Linked DNA regions of Macaca mulatta. The protein of the gene in region 2 purifies or fractionates together with the protein of the main gene of each other region. This does not show direct contact. Links are inferred from orthologs where the notes say so. Each region holds a gene or a part of one and is shown on either strand. Other genes may lie near its edges.

What was found.
Region 1: the proteins of MYH9 (region 2) and SPTAN1 fractionate together in Homo sapiens (co-fractionation; 3 studies listed by BioGRID and IntAct, with this or other methods). This does not show direct contact. The link is inferred for Macaca mulatta from reciprocal best matches to the Homo sapiens genes MYH9 and SPTAN1.
Region 3: the proteins of MYH9 (region 2) and ENKUR purify together in Homo sapiens (affinity purification with western blotting; 4 studies listed by BioGRID, with this or other methods). This does not show direct contact. The link is inferred for Macaca mulatta from reciprocal best matches to the Homo sapiens genes MYH9 and ENKUR.

What each region holds. Positions count from the first base shown.
Region 1 is NC_133420.1:19,116,142-19,119,612, forward strand, and holds the start of SPTAN1 (spectrin alpha chain, non-erythrocytic 1), read right to left. Parts: upstream 2,509-3,471; 5' UTR 2,387-2,508; intron 981-2,386; coding exon of another isoform or gene 915-980; intron 333-914; 5' UTR 315-332; coding exon 282-314; intron 1-281. Other genes in the region: uncharacterized protein LOC114672723, read left to right, coding at 915-980, 2,509-3,335. UniProt on the Homo sapiens protein: Fodrin, which seems to be involved in secretion, interacts with calmodulin in a calcium-dependent manner and is thus candidate for the calcium-dependent movement of the cytoskeleton at the membrane.
Region 2 is NC_133415.1:15,262,345-15,265,990, reverse strand, and holds part of MYH9 (myosin-9), read right to left. Parts: intron 3,347-3,646; coding exon 3,238-3,346; intron 2,331-3,237; coding exon 2,199-2,330; intron 1,722-2,198; coding exon 1,515-1,721; intron 927-1,514; coding exon 789-926; intron 1-788. UniProt on the Homo sapiens protein: Cellular myosin that appears to play a role in cytokinesis, cell shape, and specialized functions such as secretion and capping. Required for cortical actin clearance prior to oocyte exocytosis. Promotes cell motility in conjunction with S100A4.
Region 3 is NC_133414.1:26,496,104-26,499,849, forward strand, and holds the start of ENKUR (enkurin), read right to left. Parts: upstream 2,416-3,746; 5' UTR 2,225-2,415; coding exon 2,218-2,224; exon of another isoform or gene 2,201-2,217; intron 1,877-2,200; coding exon 1,621-1,876; intron 1-1,620. UniProt on the Homo sapiens protein: Adapter that functions to localize a calcium-sensitive signal transduction machinery in sperm to a calcium-permeable ion channel.

The DNA.
Region 1 (3,471 bases), on a different chromosome or scaffold from region 2:
AAATTAATATATTCATGCCTTAAAGAGAGAGAGGTTAAAGAAAAAAAAAAAAAAGGGAAGGCTTTGAAAATTTTCAAGTAAATTTACTAATACTTCTGATAATTTAACACCAAAAAAACCCCAAACAAATCCTAAACAATTTGTTTAACAGAAACATCATGCAGGCAGGGTTTTTTTCCCCCTTTCTTTGGTTCATTCAACCTCTTTGACACAAATATGCCTTCACTGCAAGCCAGGCAAAACCAAAAAGGCAACCCGTTTTCTGCATGCTGGTCAAATACCTGTACTCTGCGTTTACGAAACGATGACAACATGATGGAGGAATGTGGAGTCTAAAGAGGGAGGGGGAAGAGCAAGATAAGCTTCTAAGGGCAAATGGAACAAAATTATGAAGAAAACAGATATTTAAAAACATACGAATACAGATTAAAAATCCAACTTCAGATATTTTCTCAGTGTCTTCTCTCTGACATTCTGTATAGCGTCTAAATCCCACAAGGGATTTAAAATGTGGAAAGAAAACCAAGGTTCCCAGGTCTTGGCAGTTACTATCTGGATATGCTGCACTGGTCAAGTCTCACTCTCTTTTGGGTCTCAATTTCCCCACTTGTCAAAGTAATAATACTGAATATACTTTTTCAAACTAAACACGCCCTCCTCCTGAGGATCCCAGGACAAGATGATTCCTAAATCCCCTTCCATTCAGCAATAAAAGAGCACGACTGCATGAAATTATCACAAAGTAGAACTCAAGCCACAAAGATCTGACTTGGGCCTAGCTTGCCAGTACACTTACTTCACAAAATACTATTTCCTGTTCAAAATTGGTACAAGAGGAATATGCAAAAAAGGTGGAAGAGAGGTGATGGTTCACAGCACAGCTGCTCCAGTCAAGTGGCCCCAAGTGATGAACTATGCGGTCCTCCTCCTCCTCCGCATTCCTGGAGTCAGCATTTGCCACTAGGGCGTTGCATTCTACAGTACAGCCGCAGCTGATAATGCTGCAACAGACCTGAGTGCCTAACTAGCGGGATCCTTGCATAGCCCACGGAGGACTGATTACAAAGGCAGGCCAGCCTTGAACACATTATCCATTCTTAGTGTAGATTCCGCAGTGACAGGACATGGGGGACTATTCCTGAGATCCACTTTTCAGGATGTGCAGTTGACCCCCCACTTTGGATGAAGGCAGGTAAGAAAAAAGCAGAAAAAACTTTAACCCAGGGAACCAAAAGACATACTTAAAACGGCTCTCCCCATGTCCACCTCTTCATCAGATTGCTTGACAGGCTTACACTGTAGCCTATGACATATCCAATTTCTCCAATTATTAGATGGCTACAAAATACACTGCCAAGACCAAAGCGTATCAGAGAATCAGTTACTAGGCTGATGGTTTGCCATAAGAACTGCTTCACACTTGTCCAGGATGAAGCAAATCCTCCTTTCCAGTTTCTCCATCTAGGTCCCTGGATACCAGTTAACACACTTTGAGGCTCCCTTTGAGTAATTATTGGCCCAGTTACTGAAAAAGGTTTATTGCTAATTTCCTGCACAGAGGCCCTTACTGCAGCACTTCTTTCTCCCCGTAGCACATATTAAACTTTGACTTCAATTTGACCTTTCAAAATCTAAGACATTAGCTAGCTGCAATGAAAGGGAAAATAAATGACTAGTTAAGGAGTCGGAACCTTGGCTCAATGGCTTCATATAGCTGAGTGTTCCTGCTGCTATTCCCCAGATTTTCTGTTTCCTGGCTCCAAGACACCCCCACCCTTCCATCTTTGATACATTCTGTTTTACTTAAGGCCAATTGCTATGACGACGCAATTTCTCAACACATTATGAAAATACTTCTGTTATTCCCGAACAGCCATGATGGTTAAGTTTTTCTAAAATACCATGATGAAGACAGAACAAAGGGCTTAAATATTTTAGGATCTATTATATAAAAGAGATCTGATTAGATGTTGTAACAGTTCAATCATCATCTCAACCCAGCCTTCTGAGCTATTCAGGCTTTTCATTTAAAACATATTCAACTCTTAACTTTAACAAGGCGCTTGTTTAAAATATATTTTACTCCAGTACATGAAAGAGACTTTTTAAAGCGATGTTCTATGGGAAGCGTCTAATCAAATTCTCAGGGATAGCTTTCAAACAAAAGACTGTTCTATCATTCAACACTGGTATGGTAGAATTTTGGACACTGTATCTCGACTCGAAAGACCCAGTTCCAGGAAACACACACGCACACACACACACACACACACACGAACTCCAAGCTATTAAGTTATTTGATTTGACCCTCATACCATACAAGCACCGCATCTACCTATTATTTACAAGCAAATCACAACTGGGAAGAAAGAAAAATGTTTATTACAAGGAAAGAAAAGGAGACGGCCAGTCTCAGACCCTTCTGCGTTCAAAGAGACGGCAGAGATTCGCCAGGCAGGATGAAATTAAGGTCAGAGAGCCGTTTACGCTACGCTCGGGCTCCCCGAGCTCTTCCTCCCTCCACGGCTGGCCGGCATTGCTGGTGCCATTCGGAAGAACGAGCTGCAGAAGTCGCTCCCGGCCGAGGGAAGGGACCGGGGGCGGTGCGGGGAGCGTTCTGCAGGGAGGCGGCTGGCGAAGATCCCGACGAGGGAGCCCCCACCCACCTGCCGCAGCCGGATGGGGCAGGGCAGGGCCGCGCCGCAGCCAGGCTTGGGGGTGGAGGGGAGGGACCCGGCGGCCTCGCGCCCCCTCCCCCCAGTCAGTGACATTCCAGCGGCGGCGCCGAACGTCCGCCCGGCTGCTCCTCCGCAGCCCACGCGCCACAAAAGAGGCGGCAGAGGCTCCCCCGGCACCTCAGCCGAATGGAGGCAGCGCCGCGGCCCGCCCGACTCACCTGTCCGCGCGCCGGCCCCGCCCCGCCTTAAGGGCTGCCCAGCTCCCGCCCGGGGGTCGGCTGCCCGGGGCCCCGCTCCCTCCCGGAGCTCCCCGACTGCCCCTCTCACCGGCTCTCGTGGGGTGAGGGGCGTGGGTGCGTCGGGCCGAGGGGGTGCTGCAGGACCGAGGAGCCTCCGCGGCCTCCGCTCCGCGCCGTTCACTCCGCAGCGGGTAGTGGCGGCGACGCGCGCGCCCAGCCTTTTTTATAGGCAGCTACGCGCGCTCCCGCGGCGGGCGGGCGCGAGCGCAAGGGGAAGCGCCCCGGCGCTGCGCGGGGGGCGGGGGAGCGCGCCGGCGGAGCAAAGGGGGCGGTGCTCCCGCCGGCTCACCGCCCGGCCGCCCGGCGGAAAGGGCCGAGCGATCCCGGAAGGAGCCGAAGCGGCGATGCGGGGGAAGAGGTGAGCGAGGGGCGGGCCGCGGGAGGATGGGGAAATGGGGCGCGCGCAAGGGGTGAGGGGTGATGGTGCAGTGAGGTCACTGACTACGCCCTGGCCGACAGAGACGCTCCCGCCTCACCTCCCTCCGCGCAACTTG
Region 2 (3,646 bases):
CTAGTGTCAGCAGGGACAGATGGCTCCACTCCTTCAGGAGGCTGCCATACGGCGCTCACCTGCGCCACCAGGCCACCTTCTCCGTGCCCCTCTCTCACCTGCCAGGGGGGCCACAGCCCCTCCCCCTCTTTAGCCCCGCGGTACCCCGGGCTGCTCTCCTTGCTTTCTGTTCTGTGTGGCCCCCACAACACCCCTGCCCAGGGGCCAGAGCTTGGCACAAGCGCCTCAGTCCTCTCATCCCAGTCCCGGGCGGACGTCCTGCCACCTCAGCCTTTGGAGCTCCCGTGGTCTGAGGAGCCCCAAAAGGTGGGGAGGCTGCCTTCTCCTCTATCTGGTTCCCCGGCTGCTATCTGCTCCCTGGGCAGACACTGACAGGGACCAGCTCATTCTCAGGAGGAACGGCTGCCGCCCAGGGACAGTGGAGGAGTACCCCACATCTCAATATAGAGCCACCAAAGTGTCCCCAACCCCACAGTGACCAACGCCTGCAATGCTGCACAGATGGCCACCTTTACAAAGGCTTGGGTCTCACGGGTGGCAAAGAAGAGCTTTCCAGAGGGGAAAGGACAAACCCTTCCCCAGGGCCCCTTCGTTTATGAGGAAATCCCTCAACGATGGCCCATGGGACCTCCAGGGAGCACCTGCAGCGAGGCAGAAACCCTCGTGCTGCCGGCGGAAGAGCCAGGAAGCAGCAGCGGCAGGGCTGGGGTCCGGCCCGGCAAGGGTGACCACACTCTCCCATCCACGGCCTCCCTGGAGCAGCTGCAGGCGGCAGCCGCGGGCCTCACCTTGGCCAGCTTGCAGTTCTGGTCCTCCAGGATGATCTGCTCCTCCTCCAGCTTCTTCAGCTTCGCCTCAGTGGTCACCTTCTCCAGCTGCAGCTTCTGCCGGGCGCTCTCCTCCTCCTCCAGCTGCTCCTCAAGCTCCTGCCGGGGGCCAGAGACACGGTGAGGACAGCAGGCCCAGGGTCATGGCCAAGGTGAAGACAGCAAGGTCCGAAGGCCAGGTCCGAACACCAAGGAGAGGATACGAAGGTCTGTGAGCCCAGGGTCATGGCTGAGGTGGGGACAGCAAGGTCTGCAAGCCCAGGGCCACACCCGAGGCAGGGCCCAAGCCCTATTTGTAGGATTCCAGATTTCAAACTGGGACACAGGGCCAGAACACCGGTGCAATGTTCTGAAGGGTTTCCTGCAGCAAGCTCCCACCCATGAAACAGGCAGGATGCAGAGCTGCTGGCCCTGTGCCTCTCTGGCTAGCCAGGGCCAGGGCTAATGGCAGGGAAATCAAACTGGCCTTGATGCTGGCCCAGGCAGTACTCATGGAGAGATCTCAGATGCACATGTCACAAACTACCAGCCCAAAGGGAACACCTCTCACTGAGTGCCCCAAGCACACAGCGTGAGGAGCGGCCTCCTCAGACCCTAATTCCATGTTCTCCCAGCTCCTGGTCCCTGCTTCTCTGCCCCGCCCTGCCCCTCCAGTCCCACTCCTCCCCGGGTGCAACAGGCAGGAACCTGGATGTTCTGCTGCATCTTCTTCTTCTCTGTCTGCAGGTGCTGGCAGCGCTCCTCCTCCTCCTCCACCCTGGCCTCCAGGTCATGGCAGATCTCTTCTAGTTCCTGCTTCTTGGCGGTCAGGCGGGCCCGGAGCTCCTCAGCCTCGGCACACAGCTCGGTTTCTGCCTGGAGCTGCTCCTGCAGCTGTAATTTCTCTGCCATGAGCTGCAAACAGCAAGTGGAAAACACAAGCTCCTCGCAACACCCGCAAGTCACTCCATCCTCAAAAGATGGACGCCGTGGCTCAGGATCCCAGCAGGAAAGGAACATGCGGACAAGAGTAGCTTTCATCTGGAGAGCTCTGAAGCTTCCAGGCACCTTCCAGACATCGTGTCCTTGATTTTTCACTACCCCATGAGCTCCACAGCAAGGTCCCGGGAAACGGGCTCAGGTCATGTGGTAGAGCTGAGGTTTGAACCCAACACTGGTGAACGTTCCATTCTATTAGGTGGCCTCCCTACATCACATAACCCCAAATCCAGTCTGCAGAGACTGATCACTGTTCCCACAGTAATAGGAAACTCAGTCGTAGGAAACCCCTATAGTAACAGAAGAGGCCAGCATGCCGTGCCTACCGATGGCCAGCAGGTGGCAGCACCGGGCAGGTCACGCAACCTGGACGGAGCCTGCGCTGACACCCACCTGCGACTGCAGTGTCTCCATCTCCGTGAGCCTGTTCTCCGCAGCCAGCTGCTTCTCTCGGACCTTCACCAGCTCCTCCTCCTTGGCCATCATCTCCTCCTCCTGCCGGCTCACCTGCAGCAGCGGCTTGACCTGGGAGAGGAGATGGAGGTAGAGACATGCTTGGCTGGAAGATGCCCGCCTCTGCCAACAAGTTTGAGGCCTCTCCCTCACCTCTGGAAACATGAAAGTGAGGGGCAAGAAGACATGCTGTGGAGGGGGCTACAGCCTTCCTGGAAATCCATCTGGTGCTCTGTACCACGGGCCTCTGACCTGCTAACTACATTCCAGGGAAACTATCCCTGCGTGCGTGTGAAGATGTTCACCTCGGCATTGTTTATAACAGCAAGAAAATGAGGAAGGACCCATCTCTGAAAAAGTACCCAGATAATGACGTGGCCCCTAGGGAACAGTACGCTACCTCTAAAAAAACGATGCTTATGAAGGAATCGTAAATGGAACGTACACACTACAATACTGTTTATACGAGTCAAACTCAGCTATGGAAGAATGCATACTGTTTACATAGCTGAGGTTTTATAGGCAGTGAGAAAAAGAGCGAGAGAATAAACACTAAAATAGCTGCTGCTGCTGGTTTAGGGTAAGGGTTTATGTGTGAATTTTTATTTAATTCTTTAGACTTTTTGTTAGTTGGCTTTTTGCCATTACCATAAATTATGGATTATACACAAAAGCAGCCCGGACAAGTTTAAAAATAACGAGTTGTTTTTTTTTAAAGGCCAGGAAGGCCAGCCTGGGCAAGATAGTGAGACCTTGTCTCTACCAAAAATCAAAAAGGGCCGGGCACAGTGGCTCATGCCTGTAATTCCAGCACTTTGGGTGGCTGAGGTAGGAGGACTGCTGGAGCCCAAGAGTTTGTGACCAACCTGGGCAACATAGTGAGACCACACCTCTACAAAAATTACAAAACATTAGCCAGGTATGTATGGTGCTGTGCACCTGTAGTCCCAGCTACTCAGGAGGCCTTTCTACCACGCACCTTGGTGAAGAGCCGCCACCACTGCCAGTTCCGCAGCTTGAGGTAGGCAGCGCAGTTCCGCTGGAGGACCTTCATGGCGGTCAGCTGCTGCTGCCGCTTGGCAAACGCTCTGTGGGGTGAGGAACATGGTCAGTGCGGGGCAGTGGACAGCAGACCCGACCTAACAGTCCTGGCCTTGTCCTCAAGGCTTTTCTGGGGGTCTACCCTTGCCTGGGGTACCTCAAGACAGAAATTCAGGGAAGTGGCCTGGCCCTGGGGTTGAGATATATTTCTCCCACTTACAGGCTGTGTGACCCCATGAGGCTCTAATCTTACAGTGGGTGAAGGACCTAAGTCACCAGACTACCCCTCCACTGAGGAGCCCACGGGGTGAAGGCTCCTGTGAAGTAACCACAGATCTCACTCAGCG
Region 3 (3,746 bases), on a different chromosome or scaffold from region 2:
TATAGCATAAAGAAAAAATTCATATGGTAAAAATAACAAACATCAAGGCAGCTTTCAATACCTCCATGAGGGAGCAGACCCACCCACCTATTTCATTCATTACCATAGCGCCAGCACACAGACCAGTGCCTGCTACTCCCACTGGGCCCTCCCCACTCCAAAAAAAATGCTAGCAAGCACTTGTTGCATGAAATTACATTTTAGGGCCAGGCATGGTGGCTCACGCCTGTAATCCCGGAGCTTTGGGAGGCCAAGGTGGGAAAATTGCTTGAACAACCCAGGAGTTTGAAGCTGCAGTGAGCTATCATGGTGCCACTGCACTCCAGCCTGGGTGACAGTGCAAGACCAGTCTCTAAAAAAAAAGAAGGAAAGAAATTACATTTTAGTGGGGATAGAAGACTATGCCAGCTGGTGTTGACATAAGGAGAGGCTAAAACCTCCTGGATGAATTGGAGTTGGTTCACCATGTTGCCTCGGGCAGCCTTGTGTGCGTTCTCTGGGGTTGGGAATGATAATCGCTGTTCCTAATCCCTGGTTGTCCCAGGTGAGTGGGTGTCTAATATATGCAACCCTTTTATCTGCCTGGGTTTCTCTGCTTCCTGAAGGCGGGGTGCTTGGGAAGCCTGTGAAGCCGACCTGTCTGTACAAGGAGAGGCCAAGGTAATGGGATGCTGTGGAGTTGAATTCAATGTGATACCAAGAAGAAAACCCGAGGATGACTCAGACTCTAAAAATGTGTTGTGTAAGCAGACCGGGTGCCAGGCTCCCGGGGAATTTGGCTGGGCTGGAACAGGCTCCGGAGGAGGAATGCTGGTCTCCATTCTCATAACACACACTCCAACAGGGAGCCAAAGAATACCGCGACCGGAAATTGATCCACACTGCTCTAATTTCTCAAATAGATCCGCAGCAGGAAACACAGTTCTCATCCTCACAAATAAAGTCTACTGAAGAAAAACAATACTTGAAAGTCCCTTAGTTACAAATAAACTGAAGAAGTACATTATCCTTTCCCCACATACTCTCCACATAAGCATAAATACACCAAAAAGACGATGCCATTTTCCCAGAGGGAACTTTTCCAGTTTCTGTCATCTTCAATTATAAAGTTTGAATGGTGCTTGAACCTAAACTGAATGCTAGAGAGTTCACTCTGTTGGCAGGGTAAACCCCACACAAGCAGTGCATAGGGAAAGATGATAGAAAACCCGCATTTTTTTTTTTTTTTTTAGAGAAAGGGTCTCACTCTGTTGCCCAGGCTTGAGTGCAGTGGCACAATCATAGCTGACTGCAGCCTTGAACTCCTAGGCTCAAGCTATCCTCCTGCCTCTGCCTCCTGAGTAGCTAGGACTACAGGTGTGTGCCACTATGTCCAGCTAATTAAAAACACTTTTTTTTTTTTTGTAGAAACAACGTCTCACCATGTTTCCCAGGCTGATCTTGAACTTCTGACCCTAAGTGAACCTCCCACCTCAGCCTCCCAAAGTGTTGGGACTATAAGCATGAGCCACCACGCCTGGCCCTCATGTTTCTTTAGATGAGACAAGGATGTCTCGAAGGCCCGCTATTAAGCTGGCTGCCCAGATGCAAAACCTGTGAGCACAAGAATGTCAGTATTACCTGGGGAGCCACCTCCAGTCACCTGCGCTGTCTTCATGCTTCTTGGTGAACAGTCTCCATGAGAAGTTCATAGGTGTCTGACACGTGTGGCCAGGCCGTGAGCTCTGAAATCGATCCTGGTTTGCAGCTGTATGGTTGATGCTGCCAGACACATCCGAATAGAAAATCAGCTTTCTCCCAGGCTTTCCTGTGCCGCTCCTCCAGCCACCTGCTCTGTTGGGTGTAGCTCCTTCTGTTCCATTTTGCTTCATGGGCTCTGGAAGGAGGAGTAACAGTGCACAGATGGCAAGGTGGAACCTCCCAACACAAACTGAATCTCTCCCTCCTTCTGCTCCTCATTGCCTGAGCCTACTGTTCTCCCCCCACCCCCGACATTTCTATTTTCAGGAAAAAAAGGAAAAAACTTCGGTGATCTACAAACTTTGGGTGACTTTTCCTTTGGGCAGGATAACCAGAGCAGCTAGGTGGTTTTCCAAACGCTGGCTATGGCTAAACCCAGTCTCAAACAAAAATGGGAAAAATCAACATGTTTCTCTTCAGATTTTCCAACAACCCCTTTCTTCTCCTCTCTCCAACCTACAGGCTGCCCTTCTCCACCTGACATCCCAGTAGTGGGTGACTTCCAGCAGCTAGAGGCACTTCCCACCTTCCCCAAACCTAGGCCTGCACGTTCTTCTCTCCCTTCGTCTCTGTCTCTTCAGTCTGATAAGTTAGTCTGAGGCGTGACCCATGCGTCATCAATGGGTGCGTTAGAAACCCCAGCGATTCACTGCTATGGTCTTTATATGTAGGATAGTTACTGGCACATGGAAGTCACCCAGTACATATTTGCTGAGTCAGACTGCGAAAGTGTGCAACCGGCTGAGTCTCTTGGGGGTATTTGCACAGAGAAATAACATAACGATAACGACTACTAGCTAACTGCCGTTTACTAGTCACTTTACACAGTCTAAAAGCAGGATCTCGGCATTTCTAACAGCTTGATGACTTCACGTTTAATGTGGTTTTGTACAGAAATTTCCCTGGAACCCCACGCATGACATTGTTTGGAGCGACTCCTTCCTTGCTTACCTATAAGCCTAATCCTTCTCTTCTTGAGCAAGTGGGACTTGTTGCTGTCTTATCACTTTTCCACCTGTGTTTCTCTCTCAAGGCTTTTTCTCTCTCACTGCTTTTTCAGTGTCTATAGACCGTTGTGGAATGTTTGAGGAAAACCTTGGACTTTTTCACAGCCACTCCCTGTCTGGGCAGCCTTAGGTCAGCCTCCTCCTGCAGTTTTTCTTTCTGTTTTTCCCCTCCGCATGTCCCTCCTAAGAATGTGGTCCTATTTCCTGGAGCAGGAGCCTGTCTGCAGGCATGGCTGGGAAGGAAGCCCTGGCCGTGAGCTGGGGCTGATGGCACCTCTGGAGCTGGCTTTCCGGCAGCCGGTGACACAGGGGGTCTGGCCTCATTCATTACTAATTGTTGACGCTGTGTTCGGAGGAACATGTTAGTAACAGCACGTACCTTGATCGGCCACACTCAGGCCTGGGTGGAGGAGACAGGTGGTGACTCACACAGTGGTGGAAGAGGGCCTGGTCACCTGGGCTGCCCGAAATTGACAGGAAAGGCAGGGCCAGGAGAGGAAATCCCCCTGCACATCACCTCCCTCCCCTTCCCATCACCTCCCTCCCCTTCCCACCATATGCTCCACCCCTGCACCAGAGGCACTTGCTTCCCACTCCTCTGTGCTCTTTTTTTTTGAGATGGAGTCTTGCTCTATCGCCCAGGCTGGAGTGTAATGGCATAGTCTCAGCTTACTGCAACCTCTACCTCCCGGGTTCAAGCTATTCTCCTGCCTCAGCCTCCCAAGCAGCTGGGACTACAGGTGTGCACCACCACTCCCGGCTAATGTTTTTGTATTTTAGTAGAGATGGGGTTTCACCATGTTGGCCAGGATGGTCTCAATCTCCTGACCTCGTGATTTGCCTGCCTCAGCCTCCCAAAGTGCTGAGATTACAGGAGTGAGCCACGGCACCCAGCCTTGTTTTTTTTTTTTTTTTTTTTTTTTTTTTTTTTTTTTTTTAGAGTCATTGTCTTACTCTGTTGCCCAGGCTGGAGTGCAGTGGTGTCATCACAGCTCACTG